3 linked regions of the Oryzias latipes genome follow. The protein of the gene in region 1 binds, or shares a complex with, the protein of each later gene. Links are inferred from orthologs where the notes say so. Each region holds a gene or a part of one and is shown in the gene's direction. Other genes may lie near its edges. The genes, in order: pdrg1, ASNSD1 upstream open reading frame protein and ruvbl2.

Evidence for each region.
Region 2: pdrg1 (region 1) and ASNSD1 upstream open reading frame protein share a complex: the UniProt entries of both Homo sapiens proteins name them as parts of the PAQosome complex. The link is inferred for Oryzias latipes from reciprocal best matches to the Homo sapiens genes PDRG1 and ASDURF.
Region 3: pdrg1 (region 1) and ruvbl2 share a complex: the UniProt entries of both Homo sapiens proteins name them as parts of the PAQosome complex. The link is inferred for Oryzias latipes from reciprocal best matches to the Homo sapiens genes PDRG1 and RUVBL2.

The regions. Positions count from the first base shown.
Region 1 is NC_019863.2:18,202,435-18,206,187, reverse strand, and holds pdrg1 (p53 and DNA damage-regulated protein 1), read left to right. Parts: upstream 1-863; 5' UTR 864-907; coding exon 908-991; intron 992-1,742; coding exon 1,743-1,818; intron 1,819-1,960; coding exon 1,961-2,035; intron 2,036-2,114; coding exon 2,115-2,195; intron 2,196-2,270; coding exon of another isoform or gene 2,271-2,296; exon of another isoform or gene 2,297-2,337; intron 2,338-3,170; coding exon 3,171-3,253; 3' UTR 3,254-3,702; downstream 3,703-3,753. UniProt on the Homo sapiens protein: May play a role in chaperone-mediated protein folding.
Region 2 is NC_019879.2:16,672,059-16,675,465, forward strand, and holds ASNSD1 upstream open reading frame protein, read left to right. Parts: upstream 1-1,610; 5' UTR 1,611-1,689; coding exon 1,690-1,770; intron 1,771-2,060; coding exon 2,061-2,114; intron 2,115-2,210; coding exon 2,211-2,286; intron 2,287-2,400; coding exon 2,401-2,441; 3' UTR 2,442-2,451; downstream 2,452-3,407. Other genes in the region: asnsd1 (asparagine synthetase domain-containing protein 1), read left to right, coding at 2,452-3,407.
Region 3 is NC_019872.2:21,691,159-21,694,911, reverse strand, and holds the start of ruvbl2 (ruvB-like 2), read left to right. Parts: upstream 1-1,280; 5' UTR 1,281-1,390; intron 1,391-2,162; coding exon 2,163-2,217; intron 2,218-2,388; coding exon 2,389-2,444; intron 2,445-2,883; coding exon 2,884-3,025; intron 3,026-3,123; coding exon 3,124-3,253; intron 3,254-3,330; coding exon 3,331-3,397; intron 3,398-3,502; coding exon 3,503-3,609; intron 3,610-3,717; coding exon 3,718-3,753. UniProt on the Homo sapiens protein: Possesses single-stranded DNA-stimulated ATPase and ATP-dependent DNA helicase (5' to 3') activity; hexamerization is thought to be critical for ATP hydrolysis and adjacent subunits in the ring-like structure contribute to the ATPase activity.

The DNA.
Region 1 (3,753 bases):
TAAACTCTCTTTTCATGTACATTTGGATAACATTTATACTATACGCAGCATAAAACACAGCTGTTTATTCATTTCGCCTCCTCAGTTTCCAAAAAAGCAGTGAAATCAAATGTTTGTATGGGCATCAGAAATATTCTGCTTGTCATAGGCCAATGGGAAATCTTATATGTTCAGATGGTTCAGACTTAAGTTCATCATTAGCAAATATTAAAAACTGTAAATAAGAAAGTAGACCAGATATTTCCAGCAAACATTGGGGGTTACTAAAAACAATGCGGGTCATTGTGATATTTTCTGGGTTCAGCTCATATAGAGAAACAAGATGATGAAATAGCCACTAAATGTGCTTGAATAGTTTCCAATAAAGGATTTTGAGTTAAAGATCAGTCTTAGCAAAGCAGAGATAAAAACATAATCAAAGAGAGAAAGAAATATGACGAAGACACTGGGAGAAGGAACAAAGGAATAATAGAGGGGAAAATGATGAGAGCGGGACAACATAGGATAGGAAAAGAGCAATAACTAGATTGAGACGTAAGACTCGAACGTTTTTAAAACATGAATACATTTTTTTTAAACTAAAAAAAAAAAATCCAAATTTAAACAACCTTGAAATGTTGAACATGAAGTTTGAGGTATCTGTAAATTTAGGCAATGGTCGATGTGCGCTTTTTTTTATTTATGAAATTTTTGCAAATTAAGATTGAATTCATTTTTTGAGAAGATTCCACTCGAATGTAAGTAAGAACGTGAAAGTTAAGAAAAGATCCCGGTTTACACTCCACTCCAGTTGGCGGCGGTAACGACCAGCAAGCTGTTTGCCTACCGCCAAGAAAATGCAGAAGATGAAGCGTTCCGCCTTCTCTTGTGTTTCTCGTAGAACATATTTAGATGCGACACCGCCAACATGGATGCGGGTTCGCAGCGTGTGCTGGACTACCTGACAGAAGTGGAAGAAGCAGCCGAGGAGGTTATCACAACCAAACAGCAGGTATGTTGTGACGAACCGCAAATCGTTTCTTTTTTCAAAAGTCATGTTTAACATAGATAGCTTCAGCTAGCAAAGAGGTCACCGAACCGCTTCACTAGCTTAAAAACAAGTGATACTGAAGTTCAAGTTGGGCTGCCTGGATGATGATCATGATGGATCGAAATTTCTGTTCACAAAATTGAGTAAAAAATATCCTAAAATAATATTTTATGTCATGTTATACTATGAATTAGATGGCGTGTCCAACAAAATATTTTTTGTATTGATGATCTGTTTGGGGAAATTCCACTCACAGAGATGTAAACAAAAAAAGAAGTGTTTTCCTCTACTTAAACGTAATAAAGTTGAAAAGAAATTAGATAAAGATTAGCTTGATACCACTCTTGAAGAAAGACAGAAATTCAAAAGTTCTGCTTTCAATCTGGCTCTATTTGACATTTTAAAGATTTTATAAGAAATTTATTTGCAAATGAAATTTTCTATAAACTACAAGTGGATATTTTAGCAGCTAGTGCAGCAAACACGGACAATTTCTCTTTTAACATAAAATCTACTATAAATTTTGATCATAATATCTGTGACATAAATGGACACTCTGTCTTTGTTAGTTTAGTTCACTTTATATTCTTTTTGGCTGTCACCAGCCAGGGTCTTACTTTGACCCATTTTCTTCATTTAATAACCAAAAATTGGATACTAAATTAGGTAAATATGAATTCATGTGTCTTTCTTTTTTTTTTCTTTTCTTCAGATAGTGGACCTGGACTTGAAGAGAAACCGGAACAGGGAGGCGCTGAACGCTCTCAAACATGAGCTGTCTGATTCAGGTGAGGCAGGACCGGGTCCCGTCATGTTTAGAGGCAAGAAAGGAAAACCTGATCGCTGCATTTATGAAATATGTCAGAAGTGCTGCTGTTAAATAACAAACCCAGCCTTTTCCAGCCTTAATGTTCTTGTTTTTGTTTGCAGAGAATGTGAAGGTTTGCTTTGGAAACATGTTTATTGAGTTTGACAAATCCAAAACTAAAGGGATGGTCCAGAAAGGTAATCCTTAAAGAAAACACACTTCCATGCTTTATGTGTTTATTCATAAAAATAAAAATGTATTTCTTTTGTGCTGCAGACCAAGAACAGCTGGATAAAGAAATAAATAACCTTCGCAGAGAACTGAAAACTAAATTCAATCATCTCAATGAGATTCAAGGTATGCAACTCTTTCAAAATAAGAAAACAAAAAAGGAAAAATTAAAGCTGACAATTTTAATAAAACGCTTTACAGGCTGTGTAGCAGAAGGGGAAACGTGATTCCTCCCTCTGGTCCTGCCCTCCTGTTGGAAGGAGAAGAGGTGTTGCATTTCTCTTTTGGATGAACATAAAGGGGTTTTGGGAAGAAAAGAAGTGCTGTAAAACACTGGTAGCCATTTGGAACAGAGGATGTTACTTTTGACAAGTTGAAAACTCACAAAACTCAAGAAAAGTTAATAAGCTAAAATAGGTTCCTAATTCCAAAATGTTAAACTGACATTTGTGAAAATGTGAAATATCAAGACAAATTAATTAACAGCGTTCATTTGGGGCTTTGCACTGTTTCTGTAGAGTTCAGTTACACAACGTACTTGTCGGTCGTTCCGGTTGAAGCCAGTTGCGTAACTGCGGAGTCCTAAGGTGACACAAATAAATACTGCAAGCTAAGAGTGGAAACACCAAGACAACAGCAGACCTCATAATATATCTTTGTTTACAGATTTCTTTGCATTTTCTCTGACTGAGCTGCTGTAAGGTTCCAATGCCACAAGGGGGCAGCACACTCAAAAGCAGGCGAAATGTTAGTCTACAGATGTTTTCCACCTGCTCACACCTACAGACTGATCTGATCTGCACATGCACTCTTCTAGACACTCAGTTCAGGAGCCTTTACTCTGTGTCCAGGTCACTACAAACATTTTTTTTAATCATTAGTGCGTCTCTAGAGCTATCATTTTCTTTAGTAAAATACAAACAAATTAAAATAAAGTACCGTAAAATGTTTGCACCAGGAGGGGTAAAACTGTCTCATAACAACAGCAACTAGTGGAAAAGATGCCCTGACGCTTCATTCAAACATTCAGAAGTCAAAGTAAGTTTCATCAATTAAACTTTTATTATTGAATAGCTAAAACTATTCCCTTCATTTCTGTAGGTAAACCGGAGCTCAGAGGCTACAGACTGTCTGCACTGTCCTCTGAGGAGATCAAATCTATCAACAGCCTCCTGAAGACCTGATTCTCCGGCTGTTTCGAGTCACTTCTGAGAGAATGAAGCGCCAAAGCTGCAGGCCTGAGTTCCAGCGCCACATTTAAACATCATTTAAACATGCTTATTAAAGGCACCTTGGCTGGACGGTTGGACTGTCGGGGATTCGTGCAGGACACTTCTGCAGGTTCAAAAGATGACAAACATGTCCTTTTTTGCACCCGGTTCCTGGACTGTTTTAATAAAGTTCATATCTATTATATTTACAGTTTTAAAGTTGTTTCCTTTAGTAGACAGCAGCAGAATCTATATTAAACATCTTCTAGAATTGTAGTAGTTAAAGATGGCTGTACTGACTGGTCAAAGTCCACTTTCCAAACTCTCTTTAAAGGAGATGTTTGGATGTCCATGTTCCTCTGACTCTGAAGTTTTTGTGTAAATAATCTTTTAAAAGAAATAAAAGAATTTATTATCAAGTACATCTAATTGCTTAACTAAACAAAAATAACCACACTGTTTATGAACACTGA
Region 2 (3,407 bases), on another chromosome or scaffold:
TAACCATCAAAGTGACTGGGAACATCAGAAACAATGATAATAATTACCTTTACCCATTTTAGAAGGATGATATTGTTGTGGTCTTATTGTTTCTGGGAATATCTCTCAGTACCTCAGACCTCTAAGACCCTGAGCCTGCCAACTCCACCAAAGAAAAATAAATACCAAAGGTCACTTTTTGACATGCTCACTGTGTCCAAAATGCTACAAGAAATAGCCAACAGTTGAAAACTGTTTTAAATCAATTCAGTTTAAGACCAATGTAGAACTTTACACAGGTGTGTTTGCCTAGAAACAGTTGTGTTTGCACTGAAAAGGTGTTTGACCCACTGCTGAAGAAAAATCAATCACATTCGTGTCATCTGTTGATCTCTACCAACAACTGCAAACTTTATTTTTTTCAATAATAATAGATCACCAGCAGCATAAATAAGGAAAAATACTATTTTAGCTTTCTCTCCATCTTAGGAGCTTCATGGCACAGTTTTGACTCAAACTGAAGAGTAAAAAAAACAAAACAACTATGAGGTATGCAAAAGCTATTTAAATGCTGAGAGACTTCAAAAGAAAAAAGGCAAAGACAAGGTTGAAATAAGCTGCAGAGTTCAGCAGGTATTTCAACATTCATTTTTTTTTGGTTGTGTGATCTTTGAGCAGGGAGGTGGGGGTTAGGTTGAAACTGCTTTTAAAGGGGGTTAAGCATCTGTTCGTCTACAGACAGATCAAGTCAACAAAAAGCTTTAGTCCCCGAAAAAATGCACTTGCATGTGTTATTTTTAATTTGATGATTCAACATCAGCAGATGAAAGCATGTCATATTATAACTAAAATATAAAAAAGCTAAATTATCTTAAGACAAGGCAGGTTGGTTTGTCTTCAGCCACTACTTTAGTTTAGTTTTACAAGTAAACAATGAAAAAATACTTTTTTAACTAGAGATACTGTTCCAGCCTAGCAACAATTGGCTGGAGGTGTATTTCCCCCCAAAAGCAATATTTTAAGAAGTGTTTCTGGGGTTAAAGTAAAGGGTAGGGTTAACAAAGGTGCAGCTTTCAGAGGCTCTGATGTCAGAAAAAAAAGGAAAAGAAAAAAAGGAACAAGACACAGACAGTTAATTGGGTGTTTTTAAAGACTACTTAATAGCTTCAGGTGGTTTTGAAAACTGATCAAAAATGATCAACATATCAGATGTGCAATGGATTCATTATTTAATTTATGCTTAATTGATTTTATTTAATCAGTGTTTCTTTTTGTTGCTTTTTTCTTATATGGAAGTGTCACTTTAAATGAAAATTAAAACCGGGTAGAAACAGAAAAGTCTAACTTCTTCTGTCTCGAACTTGCTTAGCTGATTAAATTTTAACCCAATTCCGTTTAAAAAACTTTTTTGTAGTAGCCCAATACTATTTTTTTAGTCTTAAGAAAGTAAATTACATCAAATCTGTTATTTAAAGACATTCTTATTCAATCTGTGTTTACCCCTTGGTTACCTATAATTTGGCAGGCCCCGGACCCTGAGATGTGTAGCGGGTGTTTTACAAATCTGGCCTCTAGGCGGCAGTGTGCTTCGAACTCCCCACCTATTTCTTCACCCGGAACGGTTATGACGCATATCCGGACATGTTTGTCGCAGAAGTAGACGCTGTTAAGAGAAAAATTAGATAAAAAGTTTTCCCTCGTGGCTCCTTTATGAAAATGTCTTCAAAAAAATACAATAACAGCGATAATTCCCAAGAGCAAACCACATATAAAGAGGAACTCAGTAAAAAGGTAACTTTATATCAAAGACGCGCTACTGTTAGCTGGCTAAACAACACGGATATGTTTATTCACCTTTTTCAGCATGTATAGTAGAACGGAAAAACGAATAGCAATACTTTTGTTAGTATTTACGCACCAATAGTATGTATTTACTGTTTTAATAAGTTTCGATTTTCTCATGTTTGCTGGAAAAATGAAGGACTGCTGATCTTTAAATTAAAACTTAACATGATGGGATACATCTCCTGATGGCTTCATCATCATAGGGTTGTTAACGTTAACTTGTTGCTAATTTCCAGATCAAAGAGCAAAAGGTCGTTGTGGATGAACTCTCTAACCTAAAGAAGAACAGGGTACGGTAATTACCTTTTTACATCCATCCATCCATAAATCCATCCATCCGTCGTAATAAATTCATTTTTTATTGATTTTTTTTTTCTTTTCTTCAGAAAGTTTACATCCAACAGAGAAACAGCAACATTTTCTTCCTGGCTGACAGAAGTCAAACATTGTCTACAAGCAGAAGTATGTGTTAGTATTCATTTATCCTCTTGCATTGAAATTTTTACAATGTTGTACCATACTACAATATAACTCACCTTTTTTTTTTTAAAACTTTTTTTATTTTTATTCTTGCAGAGGAACTGGATTACTTGAAAAAAGAACTGCAGGATATTTAGAGCTGCAACAATGTGTGGAATCTTTTTCCAGTTGACTTTGTCAGCTGCTCAATTTGAGAAGGACAAAAGAATTTATGAATTTCTGAAGAGAAGGGGCCCCAACTCTAGCAGGGAGCTATCGTTTCCTGCTGTAGATTTGAGCTATCACTGCTCATTTTCTGCCCATGTTCTCCATATGAGAGGCCTCCTTACTCTTCAGCCGTTTCAAGACGACGCTGGAAATGTCTTGATGTGGAATGGAGAGGTTTTTGGAGGGATTTCTGTGATGCCAGAAGAGAATGACACCACTGTCATCTGTCAGAAATTGTCATCTTGTAAAAACTCTTTGGAGGTTCTGGCACTTCTGTCTGCCATTCAAGGGCCTTGGGCATTTGTTTTCTATCAAAAGGCTGAAGATTATCTCTGGTTTGGGAGAGACCTTTTTGGAAGGCGCAGCTTGCTGTGGAAATATGACGCCGAGATCAGTGTCTTCACTTTGACCTCAGTGGCAGCTGGGATTTCTGCGCTGGGTCAGTCTGATTGGAAAGAAGTCCCAGCTGTTGGCGTGTTTAAGGTTGATGTAAAGGCAGCTGCACAGAGTGGTTCTGTGTCCTTTGAGCTTTTTCCCTGGGCAAGAAATGTCATAAACCCATCATTGAGTGAAATGATGGTTAACTCTGTCCCTAGTGGGTGCAATTTTGAGATAAATCGAGCAGGTTTATCAATCACTTCACCTGTTTGTCCTTTGAATATGTCCATTCCAGAAAAAAAGGTTGAAGTTAATCCCAGTTCACAGGTGTCTGGAGGAAATCTAGAGGAGTTTCTAATCAGCAAGGAGAAAACTGAAGTTGTGAACCGTCTAATTGGTGTCCTGAGTGAGGCGGTGAGGCGACGAGTTCATTCGTTGCCTTTTGTGGCAAAAGATAATTTACCTCTTAGCAGTGGCCAGGCTAGCATTGCTATACTCTTTTCAGGAGGCATTGATTC
Region 3 (3,753 bases), on another chromosome or scaffold:
CCAACAACTGACGCCTGAAATGAAACAACGATGAGTTTGCTTCATCCTTGTCTCTTTCATTTCAGTCTTGAAGAACCTGTCATTTTCAGCATCCATCTGTTTCCTGAATGAAACATTATGATCTGGAACCCTTCAGCCTTGAGGGTTGAATTTGATGATTTATGGAAAGGATATTAAGACCCCCTCTGTAGCACTTCAGAGGGGTCTGCTCCTTCGAGTTATTTCGTCTAAACATTTTCAACAATTTCTCTGAGGATAAAGAGATTATCCTCAGACTTGGCAAATAAAAAAGGGAGATGCAGTTTTTTTACAAGGTAAATAATAAGAAACAACACCCATTCCTACACTTCATACCTTATGTAGGGGTTGTTTACACTTACTCCCTCTAACTGAAATATCTCTACAAGCATCATTTAGTTTCATGTGGCTTCTGTCATCAATCCTATAACTTTGGTTTATTAGTAGATCTCTTACTATAACTTTGTCTATATGAGGATCCTTGCACAACATTAATCTTGCATCCTCTAGTGGAAAAATCTGTGCAGTGCTGCTGGGCTTTTCTTCAGACTAATCAGGTTTAGTCACATCCTCTGCAAACCAACAGGGTTTCTTTTGGGTCAAAATGGAAAGTTTTTGAAACCTCTTAGTTTCTCTGACCAGTTTTGGTTCAGGAGATCACCTATGGATTATATAAGTCATGATAAAGAGAGAAAATTACCATAAGGACTTCAAGCACACATTATAAAAGCAGTGCATATTAAGGGAGTACATGTTTTTTAATGCATGATCATATTTTTACATTTGTTGGGAAATAAATATATGAATATTTGTGATGTTTTAGGTTTAATTATCTTTTTTTCAAGGTAACAGCATGATAAGTTGTTTAAAATGTGACGTTTTCTTATGCATTTCTTTAAGTTTAAAGTATTTTTTTAAACTACAATTTTAGATTCCTTGGTTTTATTTTGTTCAGATGACTGCAATCCAGGTCTTAAATTATTAGCAACCTGAGTTTATTTTTCTTTCTAATCTTTAATCTGTATTTGAATGCTTAAAATTTCAGTTCTAATAGTTATAGGTATCAAAAATGCCAAAAACATTATTTGTTAGGTAGTAAATTTGACACACAGAAAGATAATTTCGAAGTATTTAAGTATTTTCAGGTTATCATTATCGTGACGATCAAGACAAAAACGTAGCTTTCATCTCAAAAACAAATCCGGGCTTTTACGCCAGATTTGTAATTCACATTTGAGTCTATAGAGGGCAGTCCCAATAAACTCTAGTAGCGGAACTGAACGGCTTCGCATGTTTCTTGTCGGACACATTTAACCAGTACTCCCTGAGAAAGAAGCGGCGCTTCTCACGTTTTTTAAGTGTGGCTGCGGAGGTGAGTCCTGAGTTTGTAGTAGATGTTAAAATCAATTTGGACTTTAATATTTTCACCCAAGTAGTATAGCCAATTTATTTTTAAGTACTTCCGCGTGTCATGCAGGCTTTTATTACCCGGCTAATATGGCGTGTGCTGTTGTTTTGCGTTATGAACGGTGTGAATGATGCTAGCTTGTTTGCTAATATCGTTAGCTGATGTTACCTGTCGATTTTCTCCCCCCGTATTCATATTAGAAAATAAACTAATTTCAGTGAAGTGTCAATTTTTCTAAACCTGATTTACTAATACTTTCCTTCCTAGATATGTTTCACAAATATGCGTATATATATTTTAAAATGTCAAAGAGTGTTGACTAAGCTTTGCTGTTGTGTTGTGTGTGGTCATTCATTGCTGTCACTATGACAACGGACAGGACAAGTGGAGCATAAAAGGAATTCCACATTTATATTGCTTTGACAAAGTCTATGTGGAAAACACTAAAACATTGGTGAATGGAGGATGCAAATTTTAACTCTCTTTGGAAACGATAAACATCCAAAAGTGTCATCGATATTTGAACACACACATAAGGAATTCTTGCTGTTCTTTTTCATAAGCAGGATTTTTAAACAAACAATAAAAAATGCTCTTAAGATTTAGTCAAAGATCAACGAAGGCCTAAACTCCTCTGAAAATATTTGTTCTTTTGTTTACGATGAGGCAAATTGTTTTAAAAATGTTTCTTTGCATTTTTTTGTTTTCTTCTTGTCATTGATGTATTATTCTACAGATGGCAACTACAAAAGTGCCAGAGGTTCGGGACATTACACGGATTGAAAGAATAGGTAAGACCCCATGCAGATTTTCAACACTTTAGAAATAAATGGTAAGCTTAAATTGAATGGTAAACTTTAGAACATGCCTTATCTCTACATGAGCTGTGTGTATTTATTTTTGCTATGATTTCCCGTATGTTTGTAATATTTTGTGTAATAGTTTCATCTTTGTGTGGTTAGGGGCCCACTCTCACATTCGGGGCCTTGGTTTGGACGATGCTTTGGAGCCCAGACAGGTAACGTGCAGCACTTCTGTTTGTTGATCTCTGTTTTGACCCAAGACTTCAGTAGTTTTAGGTGTTTGTAGTTTTGATAAAATTATGGCTTTTTTTTGTAATTCATGTCCTTTAAAAAGGCAAAAACTTAACAGAGGAAAACATATTTGGATATTTTTAAACTGCTGTTAAACTTGAGAGGTTAAAATGTTTCGAATGTACCTTTTAATGTTTTGTTGTGTGTGGAAACAACATGAAGCAGTATAGAGGTAGTCAAGTAGCAAAGCGAGACTTGATTCTAAAGCCCTGTTGTCAGCACTAAACCCACATGTTGTGATTCCAACAGGAAAGTCTTTTAGCAGCTTGTTTAAAGCATTCAAAATGTCCCTTAAGTCAAAGGATAAAATCCGAATGAGGCATATTTGCTGCTGAACGAGTTGAGTTCCCTGTTCACCTGCAGGTGTCACAGGGGATGGTCGGCCAGCTGGCCTCCCGTCGAGCAGCAGGGATAATCCTGGAGATGATCAAAGACGGACACATCGCCGGCAGGGCCGTTCTGATTGCTGGCCAGCCGGGCACGGGGAAGACGGCTATTGCTATGGGTGAGCATGGGACCAGAAATGATGCATACAAGTTTCCACCTGAGGCAAAGTTCTGTTGGCTATTTGAGGCTTGTTGCATGTTTTTCTTTCATCTACAGGTATTGCTCAGTCTTTGGGCCCTGACACCCCCTTTACAGCTCTGGCTGGAAGTGAGATCTTTTCCCTGGAAATGAGCAAAACTGAAGCACTGAGCCAAGCTTTTAGAAAAGCTATAGGAGTGAGAATCAAGTAAGTATATAAACAAGGTTTAGGTTGTTTTTTTTGGATAGAAATTAAGTCCGCTCTCTTCCCCCCCATAAATCCAGAGAGGAGACAGAAATCATTGAAGGGGAGGTGGTAGAAATCCAGATTGACAGACCCGCCACTGGAACAGTAAGATCCTTTCACTTCATAAACAGTCTTTCCATACCATAGCTTTAGAAAACGTTGATTTATTTAGCTGATTCGCCTCATGTTGAGCTGGTTTGCTTTAATCAGGGTGCAAAGGTGGGGAAGCTGACTCTGAAGACTACAGAGATGGAGACAATATATGACTTGGGGAACAAGATGATTGAAAGCCTCAGTAAAGAGAAAGTTCAAGCCGGGTGAGTTCATCTTCTCCTCATAAAGCAATATAAAGGTTTGGGTTTTGTTTTTTTCTCAGTCCTATCTAAATGGAGCTTTTCTTGTTTGTCTTTAAACACACTTTTTAGTGATGTTATTACCATTGACAAAGCCACCGGGAAAAT